Linked DNA regions of Coturnix japonica. The protein of the gene in region 4 interacts with the protein of the main gene of each other region in a pairwise test. Links are inferred from orthologs where the notes say so. Each region holds a gene or a part of one and is shown on either strand. Other genes may lie near its edges.

The links. The genes of interacting proteins can lie anywhere in the genome.
Region 1: the proteins of TEX11 (region 4) and CCDC198 interact in binary tests that used the Homo sapiens proteins (3 or more experiments, as listed by UniProt). The two-hybrid records come from large-scale screens. The link is inferred for Coturnix japonica from reciprocal best matches to the Homo sapiens genes TEX11 and CCDC198.
Region 2: the proteins of TEX11 (region 4) and EFHC1 interact in binary tests that used the Homo sapiens proteins (3 or more experiments, as listed by UniProt). The two-hybrid records come from large-scale screens. The link is inferred for Coturnix japonica from reciprocal best matches to the Homo sapiens genes TEX11 and EFHC1.
Region 3: the proteins of TEX11 (region 4) and MAPKBP1 interact in binary tests that used the Homo sapiens proteins (3 or more experiments, as listed by UniProt). The two-hybrid records come from large-scale screens. The link is inferred for Coturnix japonica from reciprocal best matches to the Homo sapiens genes TEX11 and MAPKBP1.

Annotation. Positions count from the first base shown.
Region 1 is NC_029520.1:50,440,252-50,444,502, forward strand, and holds the start of CCDC198 (uncharacterized protein CCDC198), read left to right. Parts: upstream 1-1,451; 5' UTR 1,452-1,540; coding exon 1,541-1,721; intron 1,722-2,686; coding exon 2,687-2,763; intron 2,764-3,540; coding exon 3,541-3,627; intron 3,628-3,975; coding exon 3,976-4,074; intron 4,075-4,251. Other genes in the region: SLC35F4 (solute carrier family 35 member F4), read left to right, coding at 1-154. UniProt on the Homo sapiens protein: May be involved in tuning the metabolism, energy expenditure, and excretion processes.
Region 2 is NC_029518.1:98,073,305-98,077,512, forward strand, and holds the start of EFHC1 (EF-hand domain-containing protein 1), read right to left. Parts: upstream 2,801-4,208; coding exon 2,738-2,800; intron 1,637-2,737; exon of another isoform or gene 1,374-1,636; coding exon of another isoform or gene 1,362-1,373; intron 1-1,361. UniProt on the Homo sapiens protein: Microtubule inner protein (MIP) part of the dynein-decorated doublet microtubules (DMTs) in cilia axoneme, which is required for motile cilia beating.
Region 3 is NC_029520.1:22,413,099-22,417,354, reverse strand, and holds the start of MAPKBP1 (mitogen-activated protein kinase-binding protein 1), read right to left. Parts: upstream 2,801-4,256; 5' UTR 2,586-2,800; intron 1,911-2,585; 5' UTR 1,690-1,910; coding exon 1,573-1,689; intron 1-1,572. UniProt on the Homo sapiens protein: Negative regulator of NOD2 function. It down-regulates NOD2-induced processes such as activation of NF-kappa-B signaling, IL8 secretion and antibacterial response. Involved in JNK signaling pathway.
Region 4 is NC_029519.1:2,416,683-2,420,182, reverse strand, and holds part of TEX11 (testis-expressed protein 11), read right to left. Parts: intron 3,409-3,500; coding exon 3,262-3,408; intron 2,845-3,261; coding exon 2,736-2,844; intron 1,763-2,735; coding exon 1,642-1,762; intron 1,304-1,641; coding exon 1,139-1,303; intron 1-1,138. UniProt on the Homo sapiens protein: Regulator of crossing-over during meiosis. Involved in initiation and/or maintenance of chromosome synapsis and formation of crossovers.

The sequences.
Region 1 (4,251 bases), on a different chromosome or scaffold from region 4:
GCTCCCCGAAGAGTGGGATGAAATAACCCTGAGGTTCATCAACAGCTTAAAGGAGAAGAAGAGCGAGGATCACGCCGACGACATCACAGACTCCAGTGTACACATGAGAAGCAGAAGTAGAGCCAATGGCACAGTGTCTATACCACTAGCTTAGGGCTGGTGGACTGTACTGCACGCAGATGTATATTCTGTGAATATAGCTTAAATTTCCTCACTCCTTGTATGCTTAAAAATGCCATTTACTCTGAACTGGGTATGAGTTGTAAGATAAGAGAGCTAGATCTATAATAAATGTTTACATTTATACACTTACCAAGGAAAGGGTGTAAATAACCACAATAAAATGTTTTCTAATTAAAAACAAACAAACAAAACCAAAGGTTTAAGCTTTTGTGTTACTGAACCCAATGATGCTGAGCTTCACCACAAAGCCCAGGAACTTCTGGAGCCTTCTGAACCACCAGCACCTTTGGGAAATGGCAGATCCCATTTCTTACAGCATTTCATTGGTCCGAGCGATTGTTCTTCTCATCCACCACAGTGAAAAACCTTTCAAAAGCCAAAGGAAACCAACCCGGCCTTCTTGTCTTCCCTCTCTTGTCATCATGTAACATAGGGAAGCTGTGACCCAATATACCCAGGATCAGTCACACTTATGGCTGAATGGGCACCACCCTAGATAGGTTTTGGGGTTGATGCATTCATTTACACCAACAGAGAGCTGTAGAGATGTGTTATACTGAAAATCCAGCTCCTGCCAATGCAAACACACAGGGAAAATAAGTACTTATTTCCTTTCAGCATGCGCTGACGTGTGTGTTTTGGCACACAGCCTCATGGCAGCATCTTCAAGCCCAGAACTGGATCCTTCAAGGAACCTCTTTAAATATTCAAGGAAAATAATGTGAAATCCAGGGCTGTCCTGCACAGCCGTGCTGCTGATCAATATAGAATCAGTAAGGCTGGAAAAGCCCTCCCAGATTCCCAAACTCACCCCCCCCCCCATGCCCACTGCCCATGTCCCTCAGTGCCCCATCTCTATGGTCCTTGAACCTCTCCAAGGATGGTGACACCAGCCCTCCCTGGGCAGCTGTGCCACTGCATCGCTGCTCTTTTGAAGAATGAATGTTTCCTAATATCCAACCTGAATCTTGGCTTTGATGTTTTAAGTGATAAACCTCGTTTTACTTCCAGCAATGCCACTACAAGAGCTAAAGCAAGGGTAGGGGTGCTTTTTGTACTCCTGGTGAGGCTCTGGAGATGCTGTGACACTTTGAGTACTCCGAGCATCAAATTTCTTTCCAAAGACTGAAGGTTTAGCAGAAGAACCACTGGTAGAAATGCCTCCAGCTCAACCAGCTGAGGCGGTGCTGCTGAAAGTTGTGTGAAGGTAAAAACAAAGCAGTGGCTGGAGCCGTGTCAATGTTTAACCCTGCTGGGGAGGGCACCTGAGTGCATTTGGCAATGGGATCCCACTCTGGGCTCGGCATTACAGCCCTGCTTTCAGAGCGGGCTTTTCCTTCTTCCCAAGCTCTACAAAATGGGCCTCAGCTCTTCCAAGACGCACCCCAGGGTGACCCAAGTGGCACCGATGCGCAGCAATGAGGAGGTGATGGGGGAGCCCAGCCTGCACCCAACAGCCACAACGGAGCATGGACATCCCATAACCCACGGGCAGCTCCCACCCCTCCGCCAGACCGGGTATGGGAGACCCTCCACAGGTATGGGGAAAGGGGGGGAGGCCTTTCCAAGCAACTGTTTCCCTCCCCAGAGCCTTTGGGGATGGACTCAGAGCTCATCTCACGGCATCCCTGCAGTGCCAGACACAGCATTCATATCGCAACCCCATAACGTGCACCGCTGGGCACAGCCATATCATTACCTTAATTAGAGTTAGACTTTAATTAGATGTGAAATTCGGCATTAAAATAAATCAGAGCCCCACAGCACCAGGCTGACTCCACTAGCAAGAAGCAGAAGAAGGCGAGTCCCACTGCAATGTGCTGCGCCCCAGATGTCCCATACCCAAACCCAGAGGTGAAGGAGAAGGTTTGTGCCCACCCGGAGCTGGGACACAAGGACTGTCTGTGGAGGGACAGCAGGGTGCTGTGACAGCACACAAAGCTTTGGTGTGATAGTGATCTGGGGTCAACAGATTGGGTCTGGGGGTACCACAGCCCCCATCAGGGGACCTCCTGCTTTACTTTTAACACCAACACAATGCCCTCTCCCCTGTCTCCCTGTGCCATTGCCCAGCCCATTATCCCCAAATCCCCTCCTGTGAGGCCGAGATGTGGGAGTTCAATGACTCACATGGAATGGCATTCAGACACCGCAGGGCAGGTCTGGGGAGGACAGAGAAGCTGTAACAGTTACTGTGCATGTCTAATTGTGCAAGCAATAACACAACACTGCACACCCAGGAGGAGCTGCACAGCGCAAAGCTCAGGGCAGGTTGAGCTCAGTTATAGAACTGCCTTAATAAGTAACAGCCCACAGCTCCATCAGGTGCTCAGAGTCCCATCCAGCCTGACCTTGGGCATCTGAAGGGATGGGGCACCACCACCTCTCTGGGAAGAACGCTGGGAGAAATGAGGGTGGGACACACCAAGCAAAAAAATAGGGCAGAAAGAAAGCTATAGTAGAGTACAGCCCAAAAAGTGACTTCGCCTTTCTGACCCCTCAGGGCCCCTTGACTTCAACACTGTGCCGGAGAATGGAGCCAGCAGCATCATCAAGCTGCACCCACCTCGGCGACCACAGGTAGGGTGAATGTATGAAGGTTCACATGGGGCTGCTCTGCTCGGCCAGGGGGCAGGGAAGCAAACAAACATCCTGCTCTCCAACATGGGACGTGAGCAATGCACGATCCGGGCTGCAGCTTGTGGTGTCACATGCTGCCATCTAGTGCCATGTTTTACGGCTTCATGATCAGCTTTGTGATATTTAAGAGATACACGGATGTGGCACTATGGGACATGTTTTATTGGTGGACTTGGTAGTGTTATGTTGATAGTTGGACTTGATGGTCTTAAATCTCTTTCCCAAATAGAGCCTGGGATTCTATGATGTTCCTTTTAATGTTTATGGAAGCCAGGCTGAGCTCCCATCACAGGTGGGGAAATGAGGAGTATATTTGAGATGAGAAGTGAGCCAGTGTTATCTGGGTGGTTGAAGGGAACATCTTAGCTCATTGAGATGGACATCCATTCTCAGAGCAGCCTGTAAAGCTGCTGAACTCCATCAGGAAGGACTCTTCATACCACATGCAAAGTAAGGTCTTAGCCACCAAAAGAGTCTGGCTGGATGGACGGGTTGGTTCTCAGGGCCAGGTAAGCAGGTTCTGGCCTCGTATGTCCTGCCAGGAGATGCTGTATTCAATTATGACACTGATGTGTGTTGCTGAAGGTACCAAACTCCTTTTTGTATCCCAAGCAACCAGACCAGAATTGGAGCTGTAAAAATGTCTAGGTAACTTCATATCAGGTTTGGTGTTTGTGTAGTAGGAGGAATGCTGAACACTAAATATTGCACTTGCAGAGGCTCGAACCTGCCGGCACTCCAAGGGGGGTCACTACTGTAAAGCCCTGGAGCTACCAAGGGATGGATGGAGCCCCAAAAGCCAAGGTGAGCACACAGCAAAGGGCCAAGAGCTGTGCAGCAGGCACAACCTCACCGACCATGTACAGCTCCTGATATCAGCCTGAACAAAGCAGAGCAGCAGCACCTTGGGGGCAGGCACTGGCATACATGACTTTAATGATGAGTTTCCATCGTGCCCCTCAGCTGTGAGATAGATAAACTGTGAGTGCTTTGAAAACCTGCACTAAATTACTGCACGTTAACCAGGCAGGAAAATGCTCACTGCCTTCATCTGAGCAGCACCTGAGGGACTGGGTGTGGGTTGGCAAACAGGAGTTCCTTTTCATTTTAGCCAATGCAGGTGTCTTTACTGATGCTTTTCATACCTCACAGACACTGGACAAGAGGGGGCAGAGCCTGAGAGCCCCCCCTGGCAGGCGGCAGCACTTGCACAAGATGCAGATGCTGGACTTGATGCGCCAGCGCCGAGAGGTAACACAGGGATGGCTCTGGGGAGAGGTGGAGGATTGGAAGGGTTTCCTCATCTCTTTGTCTCCCCTATGGGTGAGGAAGTTCCCATGGGGTCTCGTTCTGTCTTGTGCTTGTTTTGGCAAATATGATTTGCCCTGGTTGAGCTACAGGGTTGTGTGATTACTTGTAGTGCCAGCT
Region 2 (4,208 bases), on a different chromosome or scaffold from region 4:
CAAAACTGAAAGGGAAAACCCAGAATGTAAACTCCTAATCTCAGTTGCTGCCAGCCCATATTGGAGAAATGCTACTGAATTAAGTATTTCTTGCCATGTCTGTAGAGCTTCATATAAACACTGCTTCTCCTCCCAGGGTCTCAGTTCGTTAGAGTGCATCTGAATAACCAGTAACTAACTACGTTATCTTATCTGAATGCAGAGGTTTTTTTACAGCATGTCTCCAAATTCACATAGAAAACAAGTATCTTGCTGATCATTTTATAGGCTGGAACATAGAGGCAAAGTGAGGTGATAACACTCACTGAGCAACATTGCAAAGACATTTCTGGAGTGCAGATCGACTTAAACATCACCAGTAGGGCAATACTTCCAGTTACTCTGAAATAACAATCTGATCTGCTAAATCCTCTGGGTGTTTCTTCTGCACACAGCGCCACTGATGTCAGTAGAAGCACGCACATGACTAAAGCAGGTGGGGTTTTGCTGATAGAAGAAATAATATTTTGCTAGGGGCAGAGATTTGCATTGTAAATTTCCAAGTGGTTACTGAGAATAATGCTGAGATAACCTTTATAACTGCACGATTGAGAGTATTTGTTATGAGTGAATGACTCCATTTACTGTTGAAAACTCAGTCGTCACTGACTTAGAAAACAGTGTGACTGTTTGTGCTGGAAGGCACCGCTGGGGTTGGTACAGTGGAAGTTAAGAGGCTCTGTGATATGGATAGAACTTTGACTGACCTGCAGTGGGGCTCACCATCCCTTGAGAAGGTTTATCCTTTATCCCAAAGCGAGGGCTGTGTTAGTACAATGGTCTTTCTTTTGTGGAGAAGGATCTACAAGAGGTATCAGGATGACATAGAAGGTCTTGCCCTGGAAGGGTTAGTTTTCAACAGGAATATCAAAGACATGCCCCAAGATTTTTGTCTGTTTGTTTTGCAATGGAGCATGCCCCACATAACAAGGATCAGATGCAAGCGCATGATGTTCCTTATCCTGCAATACCGGAGCATAGTGAGGCCTTTCTAGGTACTGGGAGCCCATTCTTAAAGCTATTAGGTTCCACAGAGACATCAGGCATGCCCTGCTGTATCCATTTCCTACCGAAGTTTGTGAGCTTCTGAGCAAAGCAGTCAGGAAAATTCAAAGACTTTGGCTTCTAAAACTGCAATTATAGTAGCACTGAGTTGAAGATGAGTAACAGTATCAAGATCTGAGATATTAACTTCCCATGGAGAAGGAAATGCAAATTGTCAGCTGCTCTAAAACAGCACTAGAAGGAACTCAGGGTGTATTGCTTTTCATCTTGCTTTTGCAAGAGGATATTGGGAGGATTTGAGGTTACCAGATCCTCACCTTGTTGACCATTGTGAGTGGGGAAAAGGAAAGCTTGCTTCCTTATTTAGGTATCTATTCAAATGCAGAGGATGAGTCTACTTCTTCCAAGGAGTGTGAGTACAGCTGAGAAGTTTCACTTCCTTGAGAATTCTGGAGGCTGCAATGGTATCAGCTCAGTGGAGGGATACCAGTTCTCTGACCAGACTCTCAGTTCTCAGGTTCCAGAGCATCAGTTTCATATGGTCTATCAAGCATTAAATTCTCCAGGCAATACAAGGAAGGCATCTATGGAAGAATCAGGTGACTGTATGGGTCCTGGTTCAGGGCAGTACCAGAATGAGAAGTAAGTTCATAGAATCATAGAATGGCCTGGGTTGAAAAGGATCACAATGACCACCTAGTTCCAACCCCGCTGCTATGTGCAGGATTGCCAGCCACTAGACCAGGCTGTCCAGAGCCACAAAGGAAACAGAACACATAACTGAGGTGGTTCAGAAGTGGTCTGCCTGTTTATAAAGTCAGTTTTAGAGTGCTGCTCCCCTTTTGGTACCATATGAATTGGCAGGGCAACTAAAAAATGGATTCATGAGTACTAGATCCCCAGGGTTAAGTCTGCAGATAGTGGTTCTGTTTTGGGGCAGTTTAAGGGGACATCAGATGGGTGCAAGATGCAATGGCATCTTGGGGATGGATTTAAAAGCACCAAGGAGGCTGGGCTCAGCCATATCTGTTGCTCTGGGAACTTGTCTTGACTTGAAATTGCCTTGGGACAGCTCAGGGAGCTCCTGTGGATGAGGTTAGGGGAAGCAAGTGGATTCAGAGAGTTCATTCCCCCCCCCAGGAGTGAGTGAGCTCAGCAGGCAGCTGTTGGCTTAGAGAAAAACCAGCTTCCCTGGGCAAAGAGTTCAGTGGTTTTCAGCTCCCTTGGGTGAGTTTATAAGGATCTCAAGCCCTTTGAGAGTCAGTTTGGTGGATATCCTGAGGGGCATCAGGTGAGCTGGGGTGTCAGGTTATCCACAGGATACCAGCTCCCCCAGGGATTTCAGATTAATTGAGGAAGTACCCAACCTCTTGTGGGGATTAGGAGGTGATCTGGGCAAACCACAAGCTGACTAGGGTAGGCCTCTGAGAAGATATAAGGTGAATGTGGAGATACCAGGTCCACTGGGGAGTTAGAGGAGGGTCTGAGACAGTACCAGGTTCCCTGGGAGCGTGAACAAGGACACCAGGATCCCCAAGGAACCACGGGTCAGTGAAAGTCCCCCATAGCATCTGGGCTGTGCAGAAGCCTCACAGGGCTCCTCCAGCAAGGGCTACCTTCAAGACCAGGCGGGGGCTGGGGGTACCGATGCTGAGGGGTCCCGAGAGCTGGGCTGAGCAGGGGCTGCGCTCACCGTGGGGTCCCTGAAGGAGCAGCCCGGGAGGAAGGGCAGACCCGGCCTCGGCTCCGAGCTCATGGCGGCTGCTTTCACCTCCCAGCTCCCAGCGACGCTGTCTCTATGGCAATCACCAGGCCCCGCCTAATACGCACGTTCAATAGACTAACGGCGGCTGCGGCCTTGTCCCGGCTAAGGGCCCTGAGGGGCTGGGCCTCGGCTGTCACCACCCCCGTTGTGTGTAAAAGCAGCTGCCTTGAGGCTGTGGAAAGTGTTCCTCCTCGTATTTCTTTCCCTGTTGCAGGATGTAGTTGTGCTGCTCTCACAGCTGGGCCTGTGTATGTGAGACTGAAAACATGTCCAGGCTGTGGGCGGCCTGCCCTCCTCATAGAGAAAAGTAGCTGTGAGACTCTACCCAAGTTCTCAAAATACCCCACAGGAGAAGAGGTTGTGCTTATTAACCATGTTATATATATATATATATATATATATATATACACATTAGCTGTGGAATAGCCAGTTATAACACTGACACAGATCCCCCACAGTGTGAGATTTCACGTATAGGAAGGAGGAAAGCCTTTAAATGTAAAGATCCTGTGGGAAAGTTGCTCTTAAATGTAACAGATAAGGAGAGTCACGTCGATCACCAAGGAGAAAAGAGGGTTTTGTGTTTCTTCTTCCCTTTAGTGCCTTTATGTTGGTGTGTAAGACAGAGCAGGCTGTGATTCATGGGCAGGCAGCAGGATCTGAGTCTGTAAGCAGAAGTCAAGCAGGAACACAGAGAGACTAAAAGCAGCAGGGAGAGATAAAGGTGTCTGATGGGCTCAGAAAGGGAAATAATAACTTGAAGGCCAAGCAGGGTTGAAAGGCAGCAAGCAGACAGTGAGGAACTGGCTTGGATGTGGGTGTTGTTGGGGCTTAAGCAGTCTGTCTGATTGCTCCTGGTGTGGGATCCAGCCATCATTCAGCAGGTATCCTGAGCACAAGGGCCAGTACCTTCCTAAGGGAAGGAAACTTGCCTTTTTGGCTCCAGATATGAGCAGGGACTGGATCGGAACACTTCACTTCCTCTGAGTGTTTGAAGGCAGATGGGGATGTATGATTTAGGAAGACCATGGAAGAAAGGGGCATCTTTGACAGCAAATTCTGTACGTGCAAATCAGTCTTGGCAAGGCTAAGACAAGGCTTGCATCTCTACAACTCCTGAAAAGCAAAAGGATTGGTGTTTTCTGTATCAAGATCTAGCTCTCCTCTGCTTAAACCTCATGTATTTTGGAGGAAAGGCTGTGCTGTTATGTGTATTTACACCACTGTAATGCATAGCAATAAATAAGCCCAACCTGTGAATCCCCGTGCTACAGGAATAGTTGATGTTTCAGTATGCCCTATCTGTGCTCCGAGGGATCCAAGGACTAATTACAAAGGGTTTGTTAAAGAACACTTTGAAGCCCAGGCTTGCTGATAGTAGGCTGAAACGTGATACTCT
Region 3 (4,256 bases), on a different chromosome or scaffold from region 4:
TAACACCTCATCAAGAGGAATTGCTTTTACCGGCCAACTCCCTGATTAACTGCTCACACTACTAAGACACAAAACCCAGCCCTTAAACCCTAATTTCATAGTGTGGAATTTATCCATCAGTCCCCAGGGAGTCAAGACAGCCCTGACTGCAGAACTGATACAGTGGAGCTCTTCCAAAACATATGTGCAAGGCAGAACAACAACAACAAAAACAATCAGGTACCAGAGAAGGCCTGGGATTTATAGCAGCAGCCCCAGTTCTGAAACTGAGCAGGCTGAACTTGGCTCCTTATCACAGAGCTGGAGCCCAGAGCCCCTGTACATGGTAGTATGGAGGCTTTGGGCTGTTCCTACAGTACAGGTCAACTACCTGCTCTTCAGCAACAGGCAAAAAGCAGGTTTCACTGGCAGCACCCAGGCTGCATTACATGCAGTGCATGCATGCACATGCACACACTGAGGCCAGGCACAAGCACCAAGGACTCTCCTCTAGACAGCTCTTTTGTGGCAAGAGAGGACGTCATGGTGCGCCTCAGTAAAAAAGAGCCATCTCCAGGAACTTCCAATCAGAAGCAGAGCATCAAGAGCAGGGTTTCGTGCTGGGACAGGCCCTTTAAACAGAGTTTTCTCTTTCCCCTGCAGTTTTACATACATCCCTTACTCCAGCGGCTAACGTCCCAAGCACTACTGTCCTGAGACAAACAAATGCACTTTGCATTCACGTATTATAAGCATTTCTTATTTATTACTGGGGAGGGATTAATCTTTCTATTTATGGAGATGGAGCAATGCAAGCACTGGGTGATTTGCCCGGGGTTACAAATGAATCAGTGGCAGGGACAAAACCAGGTGCCCTGACTCAGATGTGCCTGCTGTCAGCATAAGGAAATGCCACCCAGCTCCTCTTCTACCCACAGCTGGAGAGAAGTCATCCTCCTCTCCTCATGACAACAGTGACTGTCTGTCAGGAATCCTCTGCAACACCAAGAGGAGCCACAATTTTTTATACAGGATCAACTACACCTCAAACTAAGCGCCCCCTAGAGAAGGGAGAGCTTAGTCTGAATCAAAGCAGAGAAAAAAGATGGAAGAAAAGCACATTCAGGATGGCAGAATGCAAACCCCCATCTGAACAGTCACTTCAGAGACACAAATCTCATCTTTCAGAGCATCCCACCCTTCCCCAGGTGCTCAAAGAACACACCTTTGTGGAGCAAAGAGACATGGCTTACATGGAAAAACAGGTCTCTGTTTCTTGTTAGTTGCCTGTAACACCAGATTGCAGTTGGGAACATGGAGGAAGGGACAGCATTACATTCCTCCTGCCAGTCATCCATAACAACTCCATATGCTAGAATGAGGAAAAACCTAAATGCTTTCCAATACACCATGACTTCAGACTGGGTACTTCCAGTCACATCCAGCATGAATAGACCCTGCCCAAAGCTCCCAACTAAAAGGCATGTATCAGATACTCTGGTCGCCCCAGGTCTCCCACAGAGGTATTTTCAGTACAGATGGGACTGCAGGTAACAAAGTTAAAGCAAGCTGGTATCACCAAGCAACACTCACCTTATTGCCTATATCTTCACGCTTGCTCCCAGGCTTGCTTCTTCTCAGCTTAATGGAAGGGGAGCGAAGGAGGTTTTTGATCCGACTTGTTATTGTAGACCCTTCAACCGACATCATCTCCAGGTATCAGGAGACACTTACACCCCACGCAAACCGTGCCTGGGGAACAAGCCCAGGTCTGAGGCAGAAATACTCGACAGCTCAGCTGTGCTTATGCGTGTTCACACATCTCTCGGCAATCCTGCTCCAGAGCTCCACTCCTGTTACTCGGCTATTCACAGCGGCTGGCTGACCTTCCTTCTGCAGATTCCAGAGGATCAAATCAGCAGTAACCTAAACTGAAAGATGCACTCGAGGGTCAGTAAGATATCTGCAAGATTTTTTAAGCTTCATTATTTGCAAGAAATGCCAAATGAAAGATCTAATAACGAGGGTGGCTGCAGAATTATTCCTTCTCAGAGGCTTTCACAAAAGATTATCCTTCCTTTACTATCAATTAGCAGATTTAAAGCAATTCGAACCAGCAGACGGCTACCCTCTGGTAGCGCTCCGCTATCAGTCGCTATGAGGTCTGTCCATCAGCCCCTTGCTTTCGCTCGAGACACGTTGGCCCCACCTCGGGCTCTGCAGCCCAGCAGCACAATGCCGCACTCGGTTATTAAGCGCAGAGAATAAATGTGAGGGACTTTTTAACTCCCACAAATTGAGCTCCGCTTTAGGTGTGCACAGGGAACGGGCGATACCCGGTAATAAAGGTACGTGACAGCCCCCATCCCCGCTGCTCCGCTCATCGAGGGGCTCGAGGAACTGATGCTGAGCTCCAGCCAAATCCCTCCCCGCCACACACCCCCGGAGCCGGCCGGAGACACCGGGGCAAAGCCTGCGGCAAATCACCCTCCCGGCTTCCGTGCGAAATGGGGGCGGGGGGACGACGGAGAAGGAGCGAGCTGAGGGACGGCGGAGCCTCCCACCACCGCGACCCCGAGCCCCGCTCCGCCCGCAGCTTCGCCTACCTGGCGCCCGGCAGCGGCGAGGCCGGCGACCTCGGCGTCCCGCAGCGCTCGCCCATGCAGCCGGCCTCCCCGAGGAGGGGCCGCCGTGCGAGCCGCCCCCGCGGGCGGGGCGGAGGCGGGGGCCGCTCCCTCAGCGGCGGCGGCGAAGGGGGCGGCTCCGCGCTCGCCGGCCTCGGCCAGAAGCGGGGGATCGCCCTCCCGGCACCGCGGCCGTTCCGGGCCGAGCGTCCGCCCGCCCGCGCCGCCCAGCAGCCGCCCCCAACGGCCGCGCCGCCACCCGCATCCCGCCGCCCCCGGACCGCCCGCCCGCGGTCCCGTTCGAGCTACGGCGCCTCGCGCGGGTCAAGCGGGGAGAGACGGGGCGGAGCGCGCCCCTGGCGGAGGGATCGAGCGGCGCCAGTGAGGCCGTTAGTGCGGCCGTTATCGGGAGGGGGCGGTGCGGCCCTGTCAGCGTGATGGGAACACGGGGCGGGGGGTATAACTGCCGGGAGAGACACAACGGCCGTCAGAGACACAACCGCCGCTCAGGTGGCGGCCGCAGAGCCCCGAGTGCTGTCTCAGGGCGGCGATGTAGGGTGAAGCACGCTCTAGATGTGGCCCAGCGTGCATCTCCACATCCACAGCCTAAAGAAGAAACAAACCGGAGTTTCTTCATGTGAAAAAATCGTCCCCCTTTCTTAACGCGGAAGGGGGCTGTGAGAAAGACTTTTCAGCAGGGTCTGTTGTGACAGGACAAGGGGAGATTATTTCAGACTTAGAGGGGAGATATGGATAAGGATGTAAGGAAGCAGTTTTGTACAGTAAGGGTGGTGAGGCTCTGGAGCAGGTTGCCCAGAGAGATGGTGGATGCACCATCCTTGGAGACGTCCTAGGTCAGGCTGGACCAGGCTCTGAGCACCTGTGGGTGTCCCTGTTCATTGCCGGCAGGTTAGACTACGTGACCTTTAATGGTCTTATCCAACTCAAACAATTGTACGGGTCCATGATGTTAATTTGCCCTCAGCATTGACCACAATGGGCAGCGCCCTGCCAGCGTCATGGTGCGTGGCTCTGTGACCCTGCATGGCCTGTATTTCAGGAAAAGGTTGTTTGCATTCGCAGCACGCACCCTTTGGTGCTAAGTTCTGTGCAGACTGGGATGAGCTGTGGTGAGTGGGACCACTCATACTTTCCATGGGGTTAACAACACGCACCAGTCTGTGTGCCTCTGGGACCTGACATTGCACAACTGTGGGGAAAGCACTTAATAGTTCTTAAATTTCTGCCGTTCAGCAGGAAAAACAACAAAGTCACCACATCAGTGAGAAGCACGCAAACATTAGGGAATGATCTGGGAGATGTCTTTGCAAACAAGTGTGAGAAACACTCCAGTCAGTAAGTTTGACTCCAGCAAGAACCTAAGTGAAGCAGCATGTTTGATTTGCAATAGCAGTGGCAGAGGCACACTCTCTTATGGCAAGACAGAAAACACGCACCTTGTTGGTAAAATACACACTGTGATATACCCATCCTCTCAACACAGTTCTCTCTCCTAATTACTCATCAGTTGAGTATCCCAGGCTCACAATCCTCTTGATGCAGTTACTAAGGAATATTTCCATATTAGGTCTGTTACCAACCTGTTGTTTTTAAGTATATCTTGTATTTCTTTATGGAAGTAGGAAGGCAATA
Region 4 (3,500 bases):
GCACAGCTTATGGCTGAGTTTTATATCAATTAATAAACCTGCTCTTATTGTACTAGCCTGTTGTAATACAAGAAGAATTTTACAGAGCAGCAGCCATGGATCAAGATAAGGACTTCACAGAGCAGCAGCTGCGGAGCAGGATAAACAGCATGAGAACCAAGGACACCTCTAGGAAAAGAATGAATGGCTCGTGGCTTTGAAGGGGGGTTTTAGGGTTGTTATTGCAGTAGCTTTCCTCCAATTAGCGTGTGTGATTTTTGGACGCCCTTGTCTGTCTGCTATAAAAGTATGGCTTTTCGGGCAATAAATGGACGCAGCTATATTTAACTATATTGGTGTGTGGTTGTTTGAGCTCATTGACCTTTTGCCTTCAGGTTCGCCAGCATTAACCGATGTGCTTAAAATAATACAAAGGTTGCAACCAGCTCCTGATTGATTGTCTTGTACGTAAGAGAATAAACCATGACTACACACAGCAGCCAGGCTGTACTGTGCTGCAATCAAGACAGGAGTACCAGCCAAAACACTGCAGAGAGCAGCTTACTTGATGTAAGAAGAAGCATTGCTGCTTTCTGCAGAGGCTGTAGCTGTGAAATTTCTCCCCCACAGACTAAAGAACAAGCTTGAAAATATTCATGCAACAGGTGATTTAAGGAAACTGGTACAGCACCCTGCCCTCAGTGAGATCAGGCAAGGTACAAGGAATGGTCACAACTAGCCTCACATCTAGTTCCACTCAGCCAGCTGTGCAGTCCTGTCAGTAAAATGACTCTGCATTACTCCTTCTGCTGTGCATCAAACCTATTCTGGCCTGACTTGGAAAAAATCAATTTTGGTTCCCTCAAAATATGCAAGGCCAGGTCGGATGAAGCCCAGGGCAGCCTGGTTTAGTATTAGATATGGAGGATGGTGGCCCTGCATGTGGGGCTTCATGACCCTTGAGGTCCTTTCCAACCCAAGCCATTCTATAATTCTGTGCAGGTGTCAAGCTGCTCCTGAAAACCTTTAAGCCACCAGTAATGGTTTCTTCACTCAGATCCACACCCTCACAACAAAATCTCACTTCCTCCCCTCCACAACTGACCACATTCAGCCCAGACACCCACTTTCATTCTTATTTCCATTTGCTTACACTTACATGGCCCTCATAGCTTTTCTTCAGGGATCCTAAATGATTGAGGAAACGCATTCCTAATCCACACCACTGCTCTGCTTCCTGATATTTACCAATGGTATACTGAAATATTCCTGTGTTCCAGGCTCTTGTCATCAACCAAAGGATCTCCATCTCTGGGTAACTACCCTGGAGTAGCGAACAGAATAGGAGAACAGTGATGCTTTTTTTTCCCCCTACGTAAGGGACAATTCTTTCAGAGTTATCACATACTTCATTGAAACTTGGCCTTAAATATCTCTAAAGAAGCCCTTACAAAATGAAGAAAAAATCATAGTGCAGTTATAAATATCCACAAACCGTTTATACTGAGGTGCATCTTTTACTGAAGAAGTCTCGGCTGCTTCATATATAACACTGTCTAATGTTTTACCTACTAATTATTCTCAATTTGATGGGAAAAAAAAAAAATGTTTTAAATGTGCTCAGAATCATTTCCCAGCCCCTTGTTTTCCTGCTCAACTTACTGTGCTGCTGACTACACTCAGAGCATCTTCAAAGTAGCCCCACACCTCCTGCAGTACACAGGCATCCAAGTCCATCACTCCAGTTGGCAAAGAAAGATTAATCAAACTATGTAAGCATTTGCTGGGAATCAAAACAGAGTGAAAGAGGAAATATTAAATACCATGAGCACAGGGCAAACCACTACATTTTGGCACCAACAGCACATTAACTTGTGCCGCTCTGATTGCCATCCTGATACCTCCACCTCTGTGCTTACTGCATTCGTATCTGTACGGCAGAGCATACACATTCCTAGCATCAGAGCTCACTCACACAAGCTGTGCAAAAAGAGACCCAATAGCAGCAGTACTTCTGTATTTTAATTGCTGGGCTTGCAGCATTTTCATGGGATGCTATGCATGACAGCAAGGAAAAAGAGAAGATCTTTTCTCATTTCACCAACAAGAGCTTAGTACTCAGCATCCTCAGAAAACCAGTAACAAATACACAGCTTCTGAAAACAGGTCTTTCTTTCCCAGTGTGAAAAGAGAAAGAGAGAAGCAATGGCTGCCTCTGCCCGCTGGGTGCAGCACAGAACTTAGTACAAAGGAAAAAAAACATCCACTATGAGACAGAACTGAGAAAGAAGGACACGCCAGGTTGTTTTTCAGTTTCCACAAGCTACAGCTGTTACAGAGCTGGTTACCTGGTAGAATACATTGTGCATGTGTTACAGCATCTTACTGCTAACTTACACCTCATGGCTTTCTTCTTAGCCTTTAATTTGTCTTAATTTTCTAGTTCACTACTTCAGTGCTGCAGAAAAGCATTTGGAACAAAAAATTCTATAACAAGAAACAGACAGAAACACTTTCTAGACCACTTTTCTTCCTCAATAGATTCAGTTATTGTAAATATGACTTTCAGAAAACATGCCTAGCAAATAGGTTGCAGTTAACACACCTGTTAGATGGTCACACTTCAGTGGTAGATTGGTTGGCCAGCAATTAGAGGAAGCTTAAACATAAGCTAAAACCCACTTTTCCCAGAAGGTTTTATTCCCTATCACAGTTCAAACCATGGGCTCATGGCAAACTTCTGTGATAACACTAACCTAAATTTCCCAGCATCAGTGGTAGTTTGCTTTCTGTACAGGTTTAGTGCACTCTTCAGAGCTTTCTTACACAGTACAGGATACCGAGCTGGAGGTTCCATTGCTAATGCTATAAAATAAAATAAATGTTAAAAATTAATTAAATGGAGAAGAAAGAAATGACTGGAGCTAGCATTTAGTCATGGTCAGCATTTGCTTGGTGCCTGGGCTGGTCACAAGCCAGCGCTTCTCTACTATCTTCTTTGTTGTAGACTCATTAGTGAGGACTACAAGCAGAAGAACAGGAATTAAAGGACATCACAGATTACTGGTTCATCATCCATGTAATGCAGTGACATTTCAAAGTGTAGATCTCCTATTACGGCCAAGATCCTAAGTGTCTTTGTTTTGGGACACAATATTAAGCTCATTTTCTGCATTCCATACCATACACAATAATCCCAGTAACCTCAAATGTACAGGAAAGAGCAACATAAGCTGATTCTCATGACTTGAAGAACTATGCAAGTCCAAATACAGCCCTTACATGCAATGATTTCTAGTGTCTTGATCTCGTGTGGTTGCTCCCATACTGACTCCATGAAGTTATTGAGTGTAGGATCATTAAGCTTGGATCTTGCTTCAAATTCATAGAGCAGCAACAAAGTGTCTGTTGGGTCTTTAGAAAAATCTCCTATAGGAAAGATAGATTTCCCTGTATGTAATGATTCATTTTCTTAAAGCTAAATTGTATATAATGTAAATATTTTACTTCTAACAGGCAGG